Linked DNA regions of Canis lupus familiaris. The protein of the gene in region 2 purifies or fractionates together with the protein of the main gene of each other region. This does not show direct contact. Links are inferred from orthologs where the notes say so. Each region holds a gene or a part of one and is shown on either strand. Other genes may lie near its edges.

Region 1 (5,627 bases), on a different chromosome or scaffold from region 2:
AACCTCTCCTTAAAATTCCTTTGGTTAAGAAAAAGGACCCAATTTGATTTTGTAAGTAAACAAAAGTTTCATCCCCGATGGAATCAGAATGGGTTTCTTACCGTGGAAACGTAAAAATTTTCAGAATTCAGTTCATAAACAAAACCATAAGACCAAAACATTACCAAATGATTTAATAATGCAGTCTAACCTAAACTTAACTCTGCTTTTTAAAGCAGCTAAATCCAGAAAGATCAACATGTCTTTGTTGGACATTGGTAGCTCTCCGGGCTATAGAAACATTAATCTGAATTTCTCACAGTCTTCCATTGTGGGTCTGCATATACAGAGCTGAACAAAAGATGCTGTGAGGGTTCTCTAGTTCAAGAATTCCACAAGTATAGATTTGTTGGGCTAGACCAGTTTGCCAGCATCTGCCTTATGTACGTGAATGGGCGACAGCTGGAACTGAGTTCTAGAGGCTTGCTCATGCCTGGTAACCTGTACATCAGGCTACACTTTAAGCAGCATTTTGATGAAAAATCTGGTCGGAGGGACTGGTCTTGGCTTGAACAAACTTTAGACCTAATCCTTAAAACTCAATTACCCTATTTTATAAACTAGTTCTTTTTTTCTTTCCAATTTTTTTAATTGTGGCAAAATATATTTTATAAAGTGATCCTTGGAAGAATGTTCTCGGGAGGAGTATTTGTGGTTTAGATACGTGATTTGGGTACTGACTTCTCAGAAGCTTAGCTCATTTGTTATGAAACAGCCAAAATTTCCTTTTCAGTCATGCTTTTAAGATACTTTTTCTAAAAAGATTTATTTCCAGAGTGTTCCCATGTTGGTTTAAAATTCACTGTTTTCAACATTTTAGAGCAATACCTCATCTACTTGATTTTGTGTCTGCTGAAGTCTTCGGTTGCTGCCAGAGGCAGCACTTGACCCTGGGGTTGCACCTGCAGACCTGAAATGGGTAAAGGCACAAGCATGAGTAAACTATGATTCCAGATACATTTTTTATAAGTATGAAGACATTATCCCAAGGCATCACTGTTTAAAGGTTCAGAACTTAAGCAGAAAAAGAAACCCTTCCTACAGTAAGGAACAAAGGTTCTAATGACATTTCTTCTAATTCCTCTATAATTTCCAGGATTCATCATATGTTAAAAGTGAGCAGGGTCTCAAGTGAAGGTTTAATATCACTTTCTATCACTGAGGCACCTGATCTTAAGATCAGGGATCCTAAGATAGAGAAACTCTACCTTCCAGTTTTTTATTTAAATGCACACATCTACTTAAATGCACTCAGTACTCTCCTGAACTCTCATTGTGGCGAGAACTGTTTTCATGGTTATGAACAATTACAGAATGCCACTTTTCCAGTTTGGAGAAATATATTCATTTATATAAACAGGGTCAGGAACATCAAGAGGCAAGGAGGAGGGGGTGGTGTGAGTGGGAAAGGTGAGATGAAGCAGTGCTTCCTCTCTTAAAAGGTACTTCTCTTTTCAAATCCTCAACTGAAGGCCTATTGCTCTCCAGCCAGATCTTTCTTGACCACTGTGGCTTTGAAGTCCTTATCGCTTCCGTTTCTTGGCTGGCCATGCTTTCATTTTTCACACACACATACACACACAGCTGACCCTTGAACAAGGTGGGGTGTTTGGGGTGCCGACGCCGACCCCTCCCCCTCCCCATGGTTGAAAATCTGCATATAACTTTTGACTCCTCCCAAAATTTAACTACTAATAGCCTACTGCTGACCAAAGGCCTTACCAATAACATAAACAGTCGATTAACAAGTATTTTGTATATTATATGTATCATACACTGTGTTCTTACAGTAAAGTAAGCTAGAGCAGAAAATGTTAAGAAAATCGTAAGACAAGGGCAGGCCAGGTGGCTCAGCAGTTTAGCGCCACCTTCAGCCCAGGACTGATCCTGGAGACCCGGGATGGAGTCCCATGTCGGGCTCCCTGCATGGAGCCTGCTTCTCCCTCTGCCTGTGTCTCTCATGAATAAATACATAAAATCTTAAAAAAAAAAAAAAAAAAAAAGGAAATCGTAAGACAGAGAAAATACGTTTACATTACTGTATTGTATTTATTGGAAAAAAACCCACCTGTAAGTGGACCTGCACAGTTCAAACCCATATTGTTCAAGGGTCATCTGTAATGTCTTGCCTTCCCTGATAGATCACAGACTCCTGTGTCTTACAGGTCTCTTCCCTGTACCCAAGACAGCACCTAGCCTGGGCCTTGACTACAACAGCTACTGATGCACCCACTGATTCAAGTTATTTTATACCTACCACATGTCAAAGACCAGGGATGCAGCAGATCCCATGCCTGCCCTTACACTTTATTTTTATTCTCTGATAGGTAATAGCGAAGAACCATGCAATGGCACATTTTCTCACTTAGCATTTTTCTCATTCAGTCCTTTCAACTCTTTGAGGGTGTGTGTGTGTACTACTATCAACCCCATTTTCTGGAAGCAAAAAGTGGGATTTAGAAAGTCAACAGTGCTGGTTGCAGTGGAACCTGTCTTAGACCAGGTCTCCTATAATTCCACCGATCTAGACCTTAATTAACCATTGTGATTTACTGGCACGGCAGCCGCGGCAGGTACACTCCGGAGAAGCGACCCTAGTCCCCGGAGGGAACCCGGGAAAGTACCCATGCCTTCCTCCTCCGTAGACGAGCAAGAACAGTGTGGAGGGGGCTAGACGGTCCTCGTGACTCTTGACAGTTTCCTCTGAATGTTACTGCGGGAAAACTTGGGGTTTCAAGGGCCACTTCGAGGCGGCCTCTGCTTAAAGAGGGAAGATCCACGGCTCTGCTCCGGAGTCCACTCTGAGCACTGGAGCCCGTAGGCACAGGGCCGAGGTTCTTTCCCTCGCAACTTCCGGAGCCCAGCCCAGCCCCAGGCGGCGGACAGGCGCTCCCAGGTCTAGGGCAGTGGCCACCGCTCCTCTCGGGGACCCTGGGCCGGGGGTTAGGGAAAGGGGAGAAGGGGTGGGGTCGGGGTCGGGGTCGGGGTGGGGCGTCTCCTAGCTCCGGGAAGCCCTGGGGCTCCCCGCCGCCGCCGCTTCCGCGACAGCCCCACGGCCGCAGGGCTGCGGGGTGCGGGGTGCGGGGTGCGCGGCGGGGCTGGGTCGGCCCGCCTGCAGCCCGCACACCCCCGGGGCCGCCGCCCACCCCTGGGCCTCGGGAGCCGCTGCGCAGGCCCGCGTCCGAGCGGCTGCCGGCGGGAGCCGAGCCGGGGAAGGGTCCCAGCCGCGGGCCGCCGCCCCCTGGGGTCCGAGGCCGCCCCGCGTCTCGCCGCGTCACTCACATTTTGGCGGCGGCGGGCGACGGTCAGCCGAGCGGCGCAGCGGGACCGAAGGCCGGGAGCCGGGCGGGGCGGCGGCGCGGGGCCGATGACGTCGCCGGGCGCGGCCGCGGAGGGGCGCGCCGGAAGGGGGCGTGGTCCAGCGGGGGCGTGGCCTCCGGGGGGCGTGGCCTCCGGGGGGCGGGGCCTCTGGGGGCGGGGCCACCGAGGGGCGGGGCTGCGCCTCTGGCTCGGTGGTGCCGGACGCGCTCTGCCCGCAGCCGCCTTTGCGACTCTGGGGGACGCGGCGCGTTAGGCCCTGTGCGGGGAGGGTGCAGGGAGGTGCAGGGAATAGAGGGCGGGGGCTGGTAGTTTGTCCTGGGCCCGGAGGCCATTCCCCTGGCCGTGACAGTCCTGCTTGGCTGCCGACCGTCCCGCCCGAACCGAGTGGTCCTGGGGACGCCGCGCTCCCCTCCCCCCCCGGGAAACTTGTCGAGATAGGAAGGCTCTTTGGGGTATTTATCGCGGGCGTTATGGGGTTAGACACCCTCGCCTCGTGTGCTCGGTTGTCGTGCACACTGTATGAGGATCTGGGGACGGGAGCCTGCACGGGAGGAGCTAGCTGTGTTTACGCTTTTTTTTTTTTTTTTTTTTTTTTTAAGATTTTATTTATTCATGAGAGACACAGGCAGAGGGAGAAGCAGGCTCCATGCAGGGAGCCCGACGTGGGACTCGATCCAGGGACTCCAGGATCACGCCCTGGGCCCCCCAGGGCTTCCCTACTCTCTACCTTTCTGTATTCCCGGGCCCCGCGCAGAGCAGGTCCTCAGCTTCTGGTCGGGGCCGTAGGCGGGGGCCCAAACCCGAATGCAGCGAGGTTCTTTGCAACGTACTGAAAGTTGTTCCTGGAAGTATTCCTAACGTAGACGACGCCTACCTTAAACACCCAGAACACTGCCAGGTCAACCGGCAGATGAGATGAGAAATGAAAAAAAAGACAAGCAAAAAACCAAAAACTTAAATACTGAACTGTCTTTTCCGACTGTCAATGTAATAATTTGAAAAGGGGAATGTCGGTGTGTGTTAGAATAAATAAGAGTGTCACCGAGGAGGTGGGATTTGAGTTGGGTAAGTAGATAAGAAGAGAACTTTCCAGGCAAGGGATGAACAAACATGAACAAAGGCAACAGTGGAAATGGGCACGGTTTGCAACCGCCCAACCAGAAGGGGCAGGCTGGGGCCCAGGTGAAAATAAGAGTAAGGAGTGAGGATAGACAAGAAAGGAAACTATCATTTAAATGCAAGGGCTCTGGAAGCCACAGGGCAGGGAGCTAGGGGAGACCCTACAGGAGATTTGGCAGTAGCACTCCCACCCGCTACCAGGGAGAAAGGGTGATGCTCTGCAGTGGAAGGAAAGCAGATAATGACAGAATTCTCAGAAAAGAAGATGGATCTTAATAGAGAACAGCAGAGGTTTTCAGCAGCAGTGGTGAATTCAGATTGGTGTCTTTGTGTTTCAAGTAGCTGGTATGTTGAGAGGTGCCTGAGAAGACAGTTAAAAGCAAGTGTTCTAGGGGACAGTGGCTTCCTAAGTTTTTCTTTCATGGACATGTCTGAAACTCTGTAACAGTCAATGCCAAGACACTGTCTCTGGATCTAAGGAAATACATGAAATCATCTCCTAAGGGTTTGAAACCTGCTGGTCACCCTGGATTTCAGTGTCAGGTCAAGTTAAAGCAAAGCACACACATAGTATGGGGAAATTTTCTTCATTTTTAATTTACAGCAGAAAGAATATAAAGCATTCAGAAAACATTTTCCATATTTTAAGGGCAATTCAAAACATTTTGCATGGTTTCCAGCAGCTGAGTTCTTCAACAGATCCATTGATTCAATGATGCTTTACATGCACAATTACAAAAATAAAACTTACAAAAAAGAAGACATCTAGACTAGTTTTACATGCAAGTCTCAGGGACCCCCCATTGGGCGCCAACTACTGTGTGGAACTGCCATAAGCGACCGTGCAGCCAGAGAGGGGTTCGAGTTATTGTCTTTATTTCGTTCACACAGTACAGCTGATTTCAAATGGGTAACAAGAATAGCAATTAAATCTTCAGGAGACAGAATAAGATTAGCTATTAATTTTATAATGAAATCCTACTCCTGGCACTTGGGAATTCAGATTATCCAAGAAAGCTGCGCTTACCTATCATCTTATATTCAAAATTAAGATTCACAACCAAGAAAAAGCGGTCAGAAATGCTTCATTTCAGTGGAAGTGCATTTGTACCTCACCTAGGATTCACAGTTGTACTGGTAGGCTACAC
Region 2 (5,823 bases):
TAAGAGCTAAAATTGGGATCCCTGGGTGGCGCAGTGGTTTGGCGCCTGCCTTTGGCCCAGGGCGCGATCCTGGAGACCCGGGATCGAGTCCCACGTCGGGCTCCCGGTGCATGGAGCCTGCTTCTCCCTCTGCCTCTCTCTCTGTGTGTGACTATCATAAATAAATAAAAAATTTAAAAAAAAATAAGAGCTAAAATTTGAAACATAGTATCTTACAGCCTATATTTTTAAAAAACTAAAACATATTGCTTCATTGTATAAAAAAAACTCAGGACAAGTGAACCCACTCATAAAAAAAAACTAATTTACCACATTTCTGCAGACTCTGCTCTTAGGATAAGGAACAGAGCTGGGGTAGCTACATGAGATCAAGGTAACAACACAGCTGAGTAGTTTAGTCCTTTTCTTTCTTATTCTAATAGTCCTATCTAGGCGACAACAATGGTTGGCCCTTTTGATGAAATATGAAAAAAAGGAGTCAAATGACTGACTTTACTGCAAAAACATATACACAGATACACTATAGTTACAGCTAACTATAAAATGACTTAAAAGTTTATAATCTTTGCATATAGACCAGAATAAACCAAGTTATTCTGATAGCTGCTGTCCACACCAGTCTCCAGCACCTAGCCCAGATATAACAAGCTTTAAGCACTCTTGACGAATATTTTTGAAAGCTCATTCAGAATTCCTAGTTTTATTGCTCAGAATAACATAACTCATTATCCATACCTGCTCTATCAAGTATTCAAAAATCACATGTGAGGCCAATGATTTGTATAGTTCATGTAAAACATTTCCATCACAGCATAAAGTTCTACTGAATAGTGCTTATGTAAACATCTTAACAATTACATTTCTATGAAAATATATAAGCACTGTAAAGGGAAAGAAAGAAAGAGAGGATCAAAGGGCAATACTCGGGGATCCCTGGGTGGCGCAGCGGTTTGGCGCCTGCCTTTGGCCCAGGGTGTGATCCTGGAGACCCGGGATCCCACGTCGGGCTCTCGGTGCATGGAGCCTGCTTCTCCCTCTGCCTGTGTCTCTGCCTCTCTCTCTCTCTCTCTCTGTGACTATCATAAATAAAAAAAACAAAAACAAAAAACAAAAAAAAAAAGGGCAATACTCATAACAAGGATATTCTCAAGACTTTCTGTAGAGCACAAATAAAAGAACAAAGAAAACTGTGAAAAGTTGTGTCAAGCACTACTCCCAGGTACTACTACTGTACACACTGCAGAATCCTAAGACTCTCATTAAACATAAATCTCATGCTCTATAAATCAAGCATGGATAGAGCAATAGAAATAGTCAGTTTCACCTTCTTAATAGTGTGTACTGGCATAAAACAATGGACTTAACTCTACCCCTTACCCCAAAATATAAGTACCCAGAAGAGCAAGGTTTTGTCTGTGTGCTACATTAGTCTAAGTACTGGGTTATGTAATAGGTGTTTAACAAATATCTGAAGACTGAATGAATAAATGTGTCTATTTCCTAAGAACACAAACCTAGTCTGAGAATAAACATTACCAATCCTCAGACACTACATTCCAGTGTCTTCTTTCAGATCCTAAATGTACTGGGCTTATTATTGCCTTAGGGCCTTTGCTGAGTGCCATTTCCTATCCCTGGAAGGCTCTTCCCATGATCTTCACATGACTGGCACCTTTATACAAGCAAAGTCTCATGGCATGCTAGGTAAGTCTTTGGTGACTTCGGATCTGCAATGAGAAGTTACCACCCCGGCACTCTCTGTTGATCTAACTTCCTTTATCATCATGCTACTCACCACTCTAAAATGATCTAGGTAGTAAATTGCCTTCTATTCCTACTTTGGTGATATAAACACAAGACAACCTTGTCAACCTTGCAGAGTCCACAGTATAAGGCGCATAGTGGATGTTCCATGAATGGGGAGACGATCATTCCATGATAGACATGAGTGTTCTCTATCTAAACCAAATTAACCGAATTCTTTAGCTCAGCATCCCCATCTGTTAAATTTTTATACTATTTGGTTTTACTCACAATACCAAGGGTTACTTTTCACCCTTCCATACACTAAACTTTAAAATTAAATGGAATCGCAGCAAACTTTACTCAGACTTACTGCAGATGTTTTATATATTTATTTTTCCATCCTTAGATCTTGGCTAAAGTTTGATATCCTAACTAAAATGAGGATATAACTCTACCACTGGGAGCAGCAGAAGTAAAACATCTGAAGGAAAATGATGCAGACATTCGGAGGTACTGTGGTATCATTTTAACATCTATGGAAAGTCTGAAACTAGACCATAATTCTTAATTAGTCACCGTCTGAGACAAACTTCCCAAAGCGGCCTTCAATGCAAGGCGGTCCACATCCCAAGACACGGCTGAACACTGCTACAAGCCCCTGCCCTGCCCGGGTGAGGCTAAGGCTCCTGAAAAAATGTCCACCTGCAACATTACTCAACAACAGAGCCCTTCAGAATCATTTTCTTCCAGATTCTGTGAAAGTTTTAAATTATATATAGTCATAGCCAAAAGACACTGATCTAAATCAAACAAAAAAATCAATGTATCTATAGGAAAGCCAAGCAAATACACGAAACCGGAGAGGGAAAAAATATATAGCATTTGACCAGAAAGGTATTTTTCTTTGTGTCTGAATTTTTAAAAAGCAACAGCCTAAAACACAATAAGGGGGGGTGGGGTGGGGGGAGGAGAGGCGGATCTTGAAATACTTTACACATTCTTAAAGGTTTTGGGTAAATCATTAATGACATACACTGAGATCAAAGAAAAGGTAGCGTGTCTTGAAGCCAGACAGAAAACCAACCGCAAGGAGCCTCCGAAGGGACAGATGTTACACGGTTCCTTTACTCTCGAGCCATCCAGTTTCAGTTCCTCTGTGTTAGGGAAGAGAGCTTTAAAATGTGTTTTCTAACTCCATGCGTCGTAAAGAGGAAGCGACCGCTCGGTGACCCGCTCCGGGCAGCAGCAGCAGGACTCCCGAGCTCCGCCCCAGCCGGCCCCGCCCCGGGGCGCGCAACCCGCGGGGGCACCGGAGCCAGCGCTCGCGGGATCGGCGGGCGCGGGGCCGGCGGGATGGGCCGGGGCGGGCGGGATGCGCCGGGGGGGGGGCGGGATGGGCCGGGGCGCGGACCGCGGCGGCGCTCCCGGTTTGGGCAGCGCCCGCCCCCCCGGGCTCCCGACCACAGCCGCAAAGCGTAAGGCGGCGGCCAACTGGCAACGCGCACAGACGAGGAGGCGCGGCCGCCGCGGGGACTTAGTGCCTCAAGAACGCGGGATCCGACCCCCCGCCCCCCAGGCTGCTCTTACCCCGGCTCCTCCGCGCCGCCTCCTCCTCCTCGGGCCAGCCGCACCCACCGGCACCCGACCCCCAGCTACGGTTCTCAGCTGATGGGCGGTGGCACTGGGACGCCCAGTGCGCATGCCCGCGACCCGGCTCTGGGGAGGAGGAGGGGCTCGTCCCCCTCTCGTTGGCCAATGGGCTTGAGTGACAACCATTCTGCCCCGCCCCCTCCGAGTCTGGGCTAAGGAATGGGGGCGGGGGACCAAAAAAAATTTGCAAAGGAGGTGTTTTTCGAGGCCTAGCCTTACAGACGGCAAAAAACCAGAGGAGGGAATGGAGAGCAGCTGCGCTGATCGGGTGATGGCGGCCCCCCCAGGCTCACGCCTTCAGCCTGCCCCATCAGGGCCTGCCCAGCCTGTCCTTACTCTGCAGTGGAACGTATCCACAGCTCCATTAAAAAATGGTAACGCAAATAAGCAATGCTAGCAGGAACAAAGACAGCATAAGTGAAGAGTCACCTTCGTGTGCCCATTTAGTAGACTAGTTTTCATAGCACATGCACGTCGTTCCAAGCATCCTTGAAGGGTAGAGTGTTGTTTCAGCAGGGTTTGAAAAAAGCAGAGAATGTTCTACTGGTAACTATTAAAACATAATGTAATTGTTAGATAAATGCATCAGTTGCATTGGGTGAAAGAAATACTCAGCAAATTAATTAGAAGATAGAATGGGTTGGCCTTTGCCTGTATTAAGGCAACACTATTATTCTGAAAGGATCATCAGGACATGAAATGTCCAGATGCACTTAGGTGAAAAAAATCAAAACGAAATGTCTTGAGTTGGTACCATCTGAGCCAACTCTAGGTTGTTTAGTAGTGTACATACATATGTGCCTAAGAGAGTGAGGTCAGACAGGAATAAGAAACACAAGGGTCTCTCAGTTTGTTTTTAATTGTTCTGTTTTTAACAGAAAAAAGGGGAACCAGAAATATTTCCTATTTCACATCTTTCCTGAAGTAAACTGCAGTACAAGTGTTTTAATAGACAGCCACCTTTATTCTGCTTCTAAAAGGGGGGCAATAGAGTGGGTCTGCTGGCCAAGCAAAAGAAATTCATTCCTTCTAAAGGAAACAGGAGGACAGCCTGGGTGGCTCAGCAGTTTAGCACCACCCACGGTGTGATCCTGGAGACCTGGGATTGAGTCCCGCATCAGGCTCCCTGCATGGAGCCTGCTTCTCCCTCCGCCTGTGTCTCTGCCCCTTTCTCTCTGTGTCTCTCCTGAATAAATAAATAAAATCTTTAAAAAAATAAAGGCAGCATGATTCAGTTAGCACTGATTGCAGACTTTCGGAAATTCAGATTTTTATGTGAAATCCCTTTTTTCAATATTCTTAAACTTTTAGAAAGCATTATTTGCTCAGATAAAGTATTTCAGCTTCTATAAGGCAATAGTTTCAGCTATAAAGTATAAAAAAAAAACAAACGAAAAAAGCTGGAGGAGGACTTACAGAAAATCTAGTTCTACTTCCTCATTTGGGAAATAGATTAAAGGAACTGAAAGCCAAAGAAACTTCGTCAAAAGGACACGAATAATTATAAGCAGCACCGGTCCAGATGACTTAATTCAGATTCTTTAGTTCTTCCTACTATCTCATCAACTCAGCAAATGTTCATTGAGAACCTGCCATAAGCCAGGTACTATTTCAAGAGCTGCAGATATCAAGATGGGGTGTATAGTATTTTCCCTCAAGGAACTCAAGGCGTGAGATCCTTCCCAGGACACTATAAGAAGTGTTGTGATAAAGATTTATACACAGATTGCCATGAGCCTAGGGGTGAAGATGCCTTAGTGTCTGGTCAGGGACCATTCCAAAGGGGAAGTGCTACCAGAATCTTGAAAGATGTGTAAGAGTTCACTGGGAAGATAACATGGGAAAAGACATTTTAGGCAAAAGGAAGAGCACATAAAAATTCACAGGCAAGTGCAAACTCTTAGGGATCTCTATATAAATTTATTTAGATTGGAGGAACATAAGACTGGAAAGGTAAGTGGAGTTTATATAATGAAAAACCTTTTCTGTATCATGTTAATAAATGAATATTTAAGAGGAGTTAAACTATTAAAGGATTTTAAACTAAAGTGTGATGTGTTCATAATACTATGCCATGAAGAAAACTCTGTAGGAATGGGGAATATTCAAAGGAATTACACTGAGACTGGAGAGAGAGAGAGAGAGAGAGAGAGAGAGAGAGAGAGAGAGACTATAACCATTTAGAAGGCTATTTTAAATAGTAGCACACACCCAATTTAGAATCTTCCCAATATCAGAGATATTGAAGGACTGTCCTAAGGCAAATGCACCAGGAGAGAAAAGGGAAAGCCTGCTCTGAGAAGTACTTAGGAAGACTTAGAAATTAATTGGATACGAAGAATGGAAGAGATAACTACTATTTTCAGGATGTGCACTAAACATGATGTAACTATATCACTAATATAGTAACTTCTGTTTGAGGATGAA
Region 3 (5,851 bases), on a different chromosome or scaffold from region 2:
GCGGCCGAGGCACTCAGATTTGACAGGACTAGGCCAAGAGATTATATTCTGGGCTGAACTGCAAGATTGAGAGGCAGGAGGGAGAGGCACATTCTGGACTGGGCCAAAGACACAAGAAACAAGCAAAGGTGAAAGGAAGGAAACAGGCCTGGCACATTGGGCTGAGTGGCCCTAGGTAGGAGGATACAGTATCACAGGGTCACAGATGCGGGGAAGCTAGTTTCTGCAGAGACTCGAACACCAGGATCATCGGGTGAGACTTGACAAGAGGGCTTTAGAGATGTAGGGGAGTGAGCCCTTGAAGAGGTCCTGTGAAATGCAGGTCAAAATCCCAGACGTTCTGTTCCCAATCCTCACATTCTCACGTTAGCCCTGGACAAGCGGAGGTTCTAGAAATGTGCTACCCACTGGAATCATTGAGGAATCTTCAAACAACAAAAACAATGCAACCAAGTCCTGGCACTCAGCCCCAGGCATTCTGCTTAAACTAGAATGGGGTCTGATCAGGACAGGAGCAATTGAGAAAGACTCCCCAGGGGGTTTTCCAATCTGTATGGAAGTATGAGAACCTGGCCTTGAAAACAGGCGTGATGGTAATGGCCAGCCTCATCACGGGTTCAAGTACACAAGTGCCTAAAGTATTAGTTTAGGAAAATCCACCTGAACTTGTTTACACAAAAGGCTGGGAATGAGAGAGGAGTAGCAGAAGACCAGGAGACTTCTCCAGCTCTGTGATTCCATAACTGGTCACCAGTATCTACTGTCTGCAAGGCACAGAGCTGAAAGGATGGGCCCAGAGCAGAAAAAGGTGGTATCAAAGAGATGCCAGAGGCATTTGGGGAAAACCCAAAGGTTTAACAACCCAAAAAGAGAAGTGAAGAAAAAGCTGATGATTGGAGTTCTCAGGCCTAAGTGACCTAGATGATGGTGACACCATAGCAGAGACTGAGGACCCACCAAGGGGGACATGGAGGAAGTTCCCAGACTGTGAACTGAGCCCCTGTTCTACCATAAAAACACCGAATGCACAAATTCATCTATGTATGAGATTTACTTAAAAAAAAATCTCAGGGGCACCTGGGGATGGCTCAGTGGTTTAGCATCTGCCTTCGGCTCAGGGTGTGATCCCGGGGTCCCAGGATTGAGTCCCGCATCCAGCTCCCTTCAGGAAGCCTGCTTCTCCCTCTGCCTGTGTCTCTGCCTCTCTCTCTGTGTCTCTCATGAATAAATTTTTAAAAACTTAAAAAAAAACTTTAGCAAATAACTAGTTCAGAGACAGCGCTTATCACTTGCTCTGATGCCATTAAAGCAGTCACTGCTGTATCCCATTAGTGAACATTAGAACGCCACTCAGGAGTAGAGCATCACTGACCTACAATTTTTCAATGGCCAAAGGCAAAGCTGTACGTAGTCAAGTCTGTGTTTATAGTTTTTTTCATAGCCCTGTTCCATAGTCCCTTCTACCTTCCTGATTAGCAACCCACTGTGCAAGGTAGTGGATACTAACACAGCAGAGTTCCCGCACTTCTCACGGTCAACAGTCAAATGAGAAAGCCACCAGGTCAAACTACATGAGAGTAAAAGGGCACATTATGTGTTTTCTCCATAAACTGGGGAAGGGGCTTGGGGGTCCAATGATCGCTTCCACCAGTCTAAATGGATAACCATCTCTGAGCTTTATTTCCTACCTTAAGTGTAAAGTGAGGGGGTTAGCTTCCAGGAGGTGGAAGACAACTTAGCAATAGGTATCAAGGGCCTTAAAAATGTTCATACCGTTCAATTCAATAGTCCCGTCTGCAGTGAGCAAGAGGAGGAAATAAGAAATGGAACAACGGGGGCAGTCTTTGCAACAGTTAAACAAAACATACTCTAACATTACAGAGAGGGAAATAAATTATGGTTATTCGTAGAATGCGCTATTGTGCGCCATAAAAAGAAATCATGTTTTCAGTAAATACTTAATGACATGGTTGAAATGTTCCCTGCTTTGTAAAACATGCAGGTTTCCCTCACTATCCAAAAGTAGTCTTTCTACAAAACCTTTCATAAGCCGAAACAATGTAAAGCAAAGGGACCAACAATTACCATTATTTTATACGGAATATCTTTTGAGCTTTCCTAAACCCCCCAAAATAACCTCCCTTAGGGCTTTTCTGATGTCTTAGGGCACGCCTTGCTAATGGAGACACAAAATAAACTAAGTGAAAGCCTGGATGCTCACTGACACAATTCAAAGCTATGACAGCTTGACGCTGAGATGCTGAATGTAGTTCTCAGGGAAGGAGCTTGAGGGGAGGGTTGGGAGGTGCAAGGTCTCCATGACAGCTTGCTGCAAAACAAACACCGAATGCTATTTTTGCTTTCCCCATTTTTTTTCATAAAAGCAAAAATCCTCCGGGCTCCTGGGTGGCTCAGTGGTTAAGCGTCTGCCTTGGACTCAGGCCGTGATCCCGGGGTCCTGGAAACGAGTCCCGCATCAGGCTCTCCCTCTCTCTGCCCGTGTCTCTGCCTCTCTCATGAATAAATAAATAAAATCTTAAAAACAAAAACAGCTTCAGTCCGTAATTCTGTAGCAATCTGTTCCTTGGGACGAGAGCTCGTGTCTGTCACCATCCAGTCCTTGGGACTCAGGGTGTTGGAGGAACGACCCTCATGAGCTCTGGTTCTACTGCAAAGTTGCTGCAGTACAAACAGCCCTTCCGGATACGGACTCAGGTAAGGGCCCATCACAAGCCATACAAACACGCGCAATTCCCCTCCGCGATTCCTCCAAGTTTTCGGAAGGGCCCAAGAGATCTAGGTCCCAGTGCCGACTGGTTACTAACCGGCGCAGGTGGCGGTGGGCTGTGAACCCGGGTTCTCCGCGGGTGAAGCGAGAGGCGGCGGCGAGGTCACCAGCTGCAGCCGCATCGCAGAGAAAGGTCACTCCGCCTGGACTTGCCCGGGGAGTCCCGGGGAGTCCGGGGGAGTCCGGGGAAGCCCGCAGCCGCCAGCGCGGATCCGGGCCGGGCGCGAAATGCCCGCGGTCCGATGCGAGCCAATGCAGGGCTCCGGGCACCTTCCGGGCCTGCGCACTGCCCCCCCCCGCCCCCCGCTGCCCGGAGACCACCCGGCCCGCCTGCGGGGCCGCCCCTGCGGGCGCCGAGGCTGCGGGGCGCGCGGCAGGGTCCTCCCCCCGACCCCCCCGCCCCGGGCTCGGGAAGGGGCCTCGCTGCCGCTCCCTCGTCCTGAAGCCCCCACCGCATCCCCGGAACCCTCGGCGCGGCCGCCCTCACCCGGGGCTCACCAGGGGTCCGGGGCCATCGTGCAGTCTCCGCCCGCCGCCGCCGCCGCCGCCGCCGCCGCCCTCGGACACTTCCTGCTCGCGGCGGCGGACTACGGCGGCCGGCGCGGCTCACACCCCGCTGCTCCGCCCGGGCGCGACCGCAACCCGGAGCTGGCCTGGCGGGGGGGAGGGGGGGGAGGGCGGGGAGGGTGCACCAGGGCCTCGCAGGGACGGTCCAGAAAGGGGGGCGGCCCCCACGTCCCCCCGGGGAACACCAGGATGGAGCAGTCTAATCCCGTATGTTCCCCCGCTGCGAGACGCGAGCGACCCGGCGCGATTTAAATAAAAGCGTTGGACAGAAATCTTCAGCATTTTCCGGCGAGCATCTGAAATGTCATCCTGCTCAAAGCAAAAACAAGACGGTGGGCATAGCTGCACAACTGTAGAAATCTGCCAGAACGCACTCAGAGTTACTTTTCTATGTAGAGGTGTACCGCCACAAAGCTTAAAGATTCCTTGCAATCTTGCTTCAAGTAAGAGACCCAAAGAAGTGGCAATTATATATTACTTTATAGCGGCCTTCCTTAAATGACACGGTGCTTGGTTATATAGGTCGGGGAAGAAGTCACAGACGTTTTTCCGTGGAGGGAACGAGCACACTCAATGCCCCTACACCTCCAGGGAAATAGTGAGGGCAAGGAGCGCGGCTGCTCTTGCACCGGGAGCTCCCTGCGCCGCCGCCGCCAGTGCGTGCGGCCGCGGACCTGGTGCGCACGCGCACGTCCGTTACCATAACGACCAGGAGACGCTGCGCCGCCGCTGGCGAGAGGAGGGAGTGGAGAGCCCAGGCTCCAGGGGATGGAGAAGCAAAGTTCGCCCAAAGCCGAGGTGGCGGAGCTGGAGCTCGAGGCCGTGATCGGCTTCAACGGTGAGGCCTCGAGCGTGTCCGGGCTGGGCGGTTTGCAAGCCCCGGGGACGAATAGTGCAAACAGGGACACCGGGGGCCACCTGGAAGGTAGCGCGGGACACTGAGCCAGAGCCACGCTCTCTCCTGCCCTAAGGTCCCGGGGAGTCGAGGAGTCACCTCCTCGTTCTAAGCCTCAAGGACTGGGATGGCTTCACAGCACCTAGAAGGGACAAGGGTCTCCCCCCCCTACCCCCCCCCCCCCCCCCGCCGAAGGGATGACTAGGGTGCCCGTCATCCTTTTCATTCTAGGTTGGCTCTGCCTCGGCCTTAATCCCCCACGCAGCCCCCAAAGACACCCCCCCCGCCGTGAACTGCGAGACTGCCAAGTCCAAATCGACCCCTGGACCCAGAAACTCGTAGAATCCCAGCTGATGTGCCATGAGAAAGGGCTGGGGGCTGGACGTGGGTGTGAGCACCCGCCTTAGGGGATGGTCTAGTCCCCAGACCCCAGAACTCCTATTGGAAGGTTTCAGACCCCGATAAAAGATCGAGAGGACGCCAGGGGGAGCTGGAGGGGAGAGATGCTCAGGTCAAGGCGGGGGGTGGGGGGTGGGTGGGAAGCGGGGAGGACTGCTGGTTCTGCTCACATCTTATTTATGAGCTCCTGTTAGTTTGAACATTAAGGGTTCGGAAAGTGCTCTTTGATTTTGTGTGTGAAGGATGGAAACAAGCAACGCGTTGCATTTTAGAAAAAGCAAACTTCTTTTTAAGTGCATTGTGTTATCTGAAAGTTTTTAAATTGTAGTGATGCAGTTGCAGAACAATCAAAGACTAGAGTTTTAGGTGGGACTTGTATCTTGACTCTTCGTTTTAGTTTTATAGTTTCTGATAGAAAGAGGTCATTTAGGGGGTGCTTGGGTGGCTCAGTCGGTTAAGCATCTGACTTTGGCTCAGATCATGATCCTGGGGTCTTGGGATCAGACCCCCATTTTCTGCCTCTCCCTCTACCTGCCTCTCCCCTGGCTTGCCCTCTCAGGGCTCTCTCTCTCTCTCTCTTTCAAATAAATATGTTTACTGCCTTAGGGAACACTCTCTGTGTTAAATAATCTTTAGAAAGAAAGAAAAAGAAGGAAAGAAAGAGAGATAGAGAATGTACTTAGTACACCTGACCTGAGGAGTGGACTATCTTTACAGCTGGAGACAAGGTCACTGGTAAAGGGAGTAAGGGACCTGCGCCCAGTGCAGGGGGTCACACCAGTGACCAGTGCAGAGCTTCAAACACAGAGCTCTACAACTGAGCTCATGCTGTGTTGTCCAGCTCTAAGAGTAAATATATAGTCCATTATATTCCAGTGCTTTCCATTGCCATGACTAATTATCTTGGCCTCTTAAAATGGCCCAAATTAATCGGATTATTTTTACCTTGTTGGTTTTGTGACAATTTGTATCCTTTCATACAAATACACATAAATTATTTTTAAAATTATAGTCCTTTTGTACAACAAAATACTACATAACCCTTAAGAAAAATGAGATAGATCTAGGAAGGAAAGATGTCGAAGATATATTAAGTGTAAAATGCAACTTGCCCAATATTATGTATGGTATGAGTCCATTATAGTTATTAAATAAAGGTGTGTGTGTGTGTGTGTGTGTGTGTGTGTGTGTTAGAGACAGAG
Region 4 (5,601 bases), on a different chromosome or scaffold from region 2:
AGCAGAATTGGGATTTGAGCTCAGGCAATCTCGCTCCAAGTAGGGCTCTTAATCGGTATTCTCATCTGCCCCTCAGTTACATGTGTTTGTTGAATGAATGAACAGTGATCCTTTTTCGCCTTCCCACCTCAATATCTCTGTAGCCCAATTAAATGGTTCACTCCCCAAAACTTCTTTTTCCCACATCTGGCCTCACTGCTTCTTCCGGGTCTCGGAGAAGCATGGAGACTTTCACCTCTTTCCTCCCTAGCCTCATTTACTACCTACCTGCTTACTCGTACTCACTAATCTTTGTCTTATACTTTTCCTTAAGCTCTTCTTTCTGGCTTACCTCTTCATTCAGGACATGGAACCCAAAACCACCCCTCAGATGATGGTGAAGGCCCTGATAAGACCTCCCACCAGCCCAGACTGCCTAGACCTTTTGAACTAAACCGTTACTCGTGCCTGCACACATAGACCATAGAGTGACCTCTGAGATGACCTACAACTACCATTACTTCATTATAATACTACAATATCTGCCCAAGGAGGAGCCTAACATACAACACATATAGGCATGTTTCCTTAAGGCACTTGAGCAACCTTACGCCCACCTCTACAAGGCTTCCCCATCTAAATATTCATCCTAACCCTAAACAAAAGGAACCCATTCTACCTCTCGGGAAGTCATTCCCTGTGATCTCCTTATTTGCTGCAAATAATTTTTCAATGTGTGGCTACTCAATATGGTGCAGTTTCTGACTCACCAAGGCACAAACTCACGTTGGTTTGGTTGCACCTTTACAATTGCTGCCCCACTCTTTGGGAGACTAGGGGCTTACATGCATTATTATTTAACCTTCATGATAATCCACAAGCTAAATATTATTATTCTGTTTTCTGGATGAGAAACCAAATAACAAAATCCAGGTTCAAACAGGGTTTGTCTGGCTCTGAGGACTCTTCCATCTCCAAAAGGACTGGTGACCTTGAGAAAGTCACTTAACCTCCAAGAGTCTCAGATTTCTCATTCCTAAAATGAGGATAATAATGGTAATTACCTCATTATGAGAGCAACCGAGATAACAGCACAGTCCCTGACACACAGAAAGTGCTCAGTGATAATTAGCAATTAAAGTTCACAAAGCCTATAGTGTTCATGGATAGCATGAGAACTGGCTAATTGTAAGGACTGAAATGCTATCTGGAAGGGCTCTTGAACCACCGCTGGGAAGAAATTGCCATACCTGGCCTCCTGTTAGTCTCTCAAAGGAGGGCTCTCCAGGGAAGTGCTGTACACTGTATGAAAAAAATCACCTTACTGCTCACTTGGAGAATGCTCATTAGAAAATACATGCATTCTGGTGGAGAGTGCACAGTATCCGTAGCTCTGCCCTGCCTAGAGTGTGTGACCACAGGAAGTCTTGAAACCTCTGAACTTTGGTCATTTACAAATTGGAAATAATGCCTTCTCCCCAGGAATATTGAAATAACGCACATCCAGCCCATTAGGGCATTGAGGAACACATAGTAAGACCTACATAAAGGAGTTGTGCAACATAATCAAGAGTCAGATAAGGTATATGAGCGAGCTTTATGGCAAGGGCGAGATGGAATTAATTATAAATCAGTGAGAGTGACAAAACATGAGAGACAACTCTGGGAAACGAACAAGGGGTAGTGGAAGGCGAGGTGGGGGGGTTGGGGTGATGAGTGACGAGGGGGGCACTTGGCGGGATGAGCACTGGGTGTTATGCTATATGCTGGCAAATTGAACTCCAATAAAAAAAATAAAGTTATACCATAAAAAAATTATAAATCACATGCCATCAAAATAAAGTGTTAAAAGTGCAGGAAAGGTAAAAGGATAGTACGAATCAGGTCCTAGCGCAGAGCTTGAAACCCTAATTGGCCCCCCCAGTAGGGAGCAGGCAGCAGGGCGGGGCGGGGGCGGGGCCATACCGCGGGACCACGCCCACCCGCCTCAAGCCCCGCCTCCAGGGCTGCGTGACGCGCCGCCCAAGCCCCGCCGACGGGGGGCGGGGCTGGCCCTGGTCACGTGAGCGCGGGTGCGGAAGTGGTGCAGCGGGCGGCGTCTGTGGTTGGCCGCGGCCGCGGGTGCCGGGGGCGGGGTCAAGCCGGCCAGACGCGCCGGGAGGAGCCGGGGGAGGAGGCCGGCGCGGGGCCCGGCGTCAGGTTCGGGGATCCGGTGTGCCGGCCGAGCGAGCGCTGGAGCCGCGGCGGTCCGGTGCGCCCCGGCCTGCGCGCGCAGCTGCTCTGGGTTCCCCGGGCCGAGGCGCCGGCGGCTGCGGCAGGCCGGTGGGGTGGGCGGAGGGAGGCTCGGCGGGCGCGGGCGCCCTGTGCGCGGAGCAGGCGCGAGGCAGCCGGGGGCCGGGACGCCATGTCCATGGAGGACCCCTTCTTTGTGGTGAAAGGGTGAGTGTCCCCGAGGGCTCCGCTGGAGGAAGAGGTGGCGGTGCTGCCCGCCTGCACCTCCCCGCGCGTCGCGCTGGAGGGGGAGGGGAGACAAGTGGCGGCTATAGGGACGGCTTAGCTTGCAGGGCCATGACCAAGCGTCCAGAGACGTGCCCTCCCCGTCCTACCTGGACTGTGAAACCCGCCGTGCGCCCCGAGCCAAGCCGCTGGGGCAAGGGGACGCCTTTAGGGCTGTGCGCGGAGATGCAACTTGTTTGGGGTTCGAGGGGATCAGCAGCTCTGCAGGCGGCGGGGGAGACAGTCGTCCCAGCCCTCGCTGGGGTTCTAGTGGAGCACGGGGCCCTACTTCGAAGGAGGGAAAACAGCATCTGGGCAGGAAAAGGGAAATGGCCCTCCTGAGCTTTGTAGTTGGCGTTGCTGGGGGGTGAACTCCCATTGTCCATTGAGTTTGGAGCGCCGGCCCCAGAGCGGTGAGACCACAACACGCCCAGAGGCGTCTGAGCACGTTTGCAGGCTGGGTTGCGGGGGAGCAGGGCTCCGGCAGACAACTCAGTTCAGTGGGGGCGTTTGTACTGAGTAATAGGAGGGGAGGGAAGCAGTCGTTCGAACTCGGCGATGATGTTGGAAGGAAAACAACATGAAATCAGCCAAACTAAACTTTCCTCAGCTTTCTATTAGCAACTGGGATTTTCCCACAGTGCTAAAGGAAGTGAGGGCTTTCTTTTTTAACTCCCTGATTTCATCCAGGCTCTTTGACAGGTTTCCCCCATTTCTTATCCAGCCTTTCAGAACAGGACTGCCTTAACTTATTTTTCCTCCCCCCCCCCTCCCCCGCCCCCTATGAGCTGTCCTGACTCCATCTTTGATTGCTCGGTTGTTTGGAGATACAAACTTTCTTTGCATTCTGTTATCTTTGGAGCCATTAGGCAAATGCAAAAAAGATGGATTCGCATGCTGTTGTAACTTGTCAGCTTTATGTTTTAAATGTCAGTCATGGAAAAAATCCGAGAACTACGAAGATCCCAGGTACTAATAACCACGAAGTGTCCCTTTGCTTGCAACTAGTTGCTGCTACCTTCCTATTTCTGTAGTGGTAAAAGCTGACCAGTTGTGTTTTTTTGAGGCTTTTTCTCAGAAAATTTACATGGTTCTGTAGGTGAAGTCCTTTGTTATCCATGATACAATAAAAAAAAAGCTTCATGACATTTCCCTAAAAGGTTTTTCTCTTCATCCTAAGGTAGATGGGGAAATGCAGAGTCATAGATTGATCAGTAATATGTGGCTCTCTACCTCGAAAATGTGTTGTTAGATTAGTTTAAGGGGTTAGTTTTTGAATGTTAAAGCCGTGTGTCTTTCCCTTGAATGAAAGTTCTTAATGCTTAGGTTGCAAAGATTACCTCTGGCAGTGGAAGCCAGGGATAATCAGAAATTTTTCGTTTGTTTGATTTTTAGTGAAATCTCTGAAAATGCTAAGCTCTGCCATCTTGGTCTTTTTTTCCTGGTGGTATCCAGTTGAGTCTCTCAGTGCTCGCTCACTGATCAGATATCACTGCTGTATTAGAACATTGGCCCGGATTCTTGGTTGACTTTTGTATCCTTTTGGCTCATGTCCTTAAGGTGTCTGAAGGAAGGGATTCACAATACCTTCTGCTGTAAAAGGTAAAGTTAGCCACATGGGTGTGTCCAGACTGTGATAGAATATCTGGGGGACTGTGTACCTCTGTTTATTAAAAGTATTGAAAATGCATCGCAGAATGTGGAAAGATTAAATGCTTAAATTGTGGCCCTTTGCCCAGAAGCTGATGGTTCTGAGAAGCAACTTACCCCCCAAATTAAGTAGAAATGACAGGTGATAAATTAAGCACTGAAGCGAATCTTACAGGTTAAGTGCCCCGGAAGTTCTGAGAAAAGCAACTCATTAGAAATGGTTAGGATTGGAAAAGCTTTTAGAAGGAGTAATAGGTCTTGAATTAGGTTTTGAAGATAGGTAGAATTGAGATAACTCAGGCCTGTGTCTCATCTGGACTCTTATTAAAAAGAGTCTCTTAATTGGTCTGCCTACTTCTAGTCATCTGCCCTTGATTATATTGGGTTAGTGCTGTCTAAAATATAATATGGGCCATATATGTCATTTTATATTCCCTAGTAGCCAGGTTAAAAAGTAAAAAGAGAGGCACTTGGATGGCCTAGTCGGTGGAGCATGCTACTCGATCTCGGAGGCATGAGTTCAAGCCCCACATTGGGCATAGCGCTCACTTAAAAAAAGTAAAAAGAAACTGGTGAAATTAATTTTAATGTCATCTTTAATGTAGTCAAAATATCTCAGCATGTGGTTAATATAAAGATTATAACGGGATATTTTACTCTTTTGTACTAAGTTTTCTAATTTGGAGTGTATTTTACACATATAGCCCATCTCAATTTGGACACTGAATTTTTCATCAGAAATATTTGTTCTATATTTAGAGTTCGTTAAATTTATAGAGTTGAAAATGTAGATTCACATACCCAAACATTCCAAACGTACTTGAAAATTTTCCAGTTACTGAAATGCTTATCAGTTTTTAAGTTGAAATTAATTGAAATTTAAAAGGTAGTTCCTTGGTCACACCAGTGCACTGCAGGCGTTCAGTCATCACATGTGAGGCCCACATTGGGCAGCAGAGGTATAGCTCTTGGGCAGGGGCTCCCTACTTAACATTAGTTAGTGGCTGGCTGTTGCATACAGAATAAAGTCCAAGCACTTCTTGACCACCACGATCCAGCCTTCCAGACCTCCACCCACTCTGCCTACCCACAGCTCAGAGTTCCAGCAAGGTCAGACTGAGTGATTGTGACCACAGTACTGGGTGCTCTTACTCCACATACACTCACTTTGCCTGGTTCACCCACTAAGTTTTGAAGATTCAGTGTAAGCATCTGCCCAGCCTCCAGGAAGTGCTTCCCCTTGGCACTTGTAACACGTTTTTGCACCTCTTCCTCTGGCTGTCTTTCATTATTATATTAGACTCTGAGCTCTGAGGGTTGGGACTGTTTATTTTTCCTGTATTTCCAGCCCAACACCTTGAATATGCAGCATAAATGTTAAATAAATACTCGTGGTGGTGGTGGTGGTGCTGGTGGTTAAGGAGTAGTGATTCATGGGTGGGCACATTGCCAGCAAATGCCCTGAGATGAGCATTG

What was found.
Region 1: the proteins of STX7 (region 2) and VAMP3 purify together in Homo sapiens (affinity purification with mass spectrometry; 3 studies listed by BioGRID and IntAct, counting the BioPlex papers as one, with this or other methods). This does not show direct contact. The link is inferred for Canis lupus familiaris from reciprocal best matches to the Homo sapiens genes STX7 and VAMP3.
Region 3: the proteins of STX7 (region 2) and STX8 purify together in Homo sapiens (affinity purification with mass spectrometry; 5 studies listed by BioGRID and IntAct, counting the BioPlex papers as one, with this or other methods). This does not show direct contact. The link is inferred for Canis lupus familiaris from reciprocal best matches to the Homo sapiens genes STX7 and STX8.
Region 4: the proteins of STX7 (region 2) and STX6 purify together in Homo sapiens (affinity purification with mass spectrometry; 3 studies listed by BioGRID and IntAct, counting the BioPlex papers as one, with this or other methods). This does not show direct contact. The link is inferred for Canis lupus familiaris from reciprocal best matches to the Homo sapiens genes STX7 and STX6.

The regions. Positions count from the first base shown.
Region 1 is NC_049226.1:61,912,743-61,918,369, reverse strand, and holds the start of VAMP3 (vesicle-associated membrane protein 3), read right to left. Parts: upstream 3,426-5,627; 5' UTR 3,324-3,425; coding exon 3,322-3,323; intron 2,022-3,321; exon of another isoform or gene 1,479-2,021; coding exon of another isoform or gene 1,146-1,478; exon of another isoform or gene 950-1,145; coding exon 868-949; exon of another isoform or gene 781-867; intron 1-780. Other genes in the region: putative protein SCAMPER, read left to right, coding at 1,146-1,478. UniProt on the Homo sapiens protein: SNARE involved in vesicular transport from the late endosomes to the trans-Golgi network.
Region 2 is NC_049222.1:25,723,097-25,728,919, forward strand, and holds the start of STX7 (syntaxin-7), read right to left. Parts: upstream 3,468-5,823; 5' UTR 3,334-3,467; intron 3,000-3,333; exon of another isoform or gene 2,780-2,999; intron 1-2,779. UniProt on the Homo sapiens protein: May be involved in protein trafficking from the plasma membrane to the early endosome (EE) as well as in homotypic fusion of endocytic organelles. Mediates the endocytic trafficking from early endosomes to late endosomes and lysosomes.
Region 3 is NC_049226.1:34,296,817-34,302,667, forward strand, and holds the start of STX8 (syntaxin-8), read right to left. Parts: upstream 3,426-5,851; 5' UTR 3,304-3,425; coding exon 3,287-3,303; exon of another isoform or gene 3,276-3,286; intron 1-3,275. Other genes in the region: CFAP52 (cilia- and flagella-associated protein 52), read left to right, coding at 4,124-4,193. UniProt on the Homo sapiens protein: Vesicle trafficking protein that functions in the early secretory pathway, possibly by mediating retrograde transport from cis-Golgi membranes to the ER.
Region 4 is NC_049228.1:14,370,445-14,376,045, reverse strand, and holds the start of STX6 (syntaxin-6), read left to right. Parts: upstream 1-2,176; 5' UTR 2,177-2,383; coding exon 2,384-2,418; intron 2,419-5,601. UniProt on the Homo sapiens protein: SNARE promoting movement of transport vesicles to target membranes. Targets endosomes to the trans-Golgi network, and may therefore function in retrograde trafficking.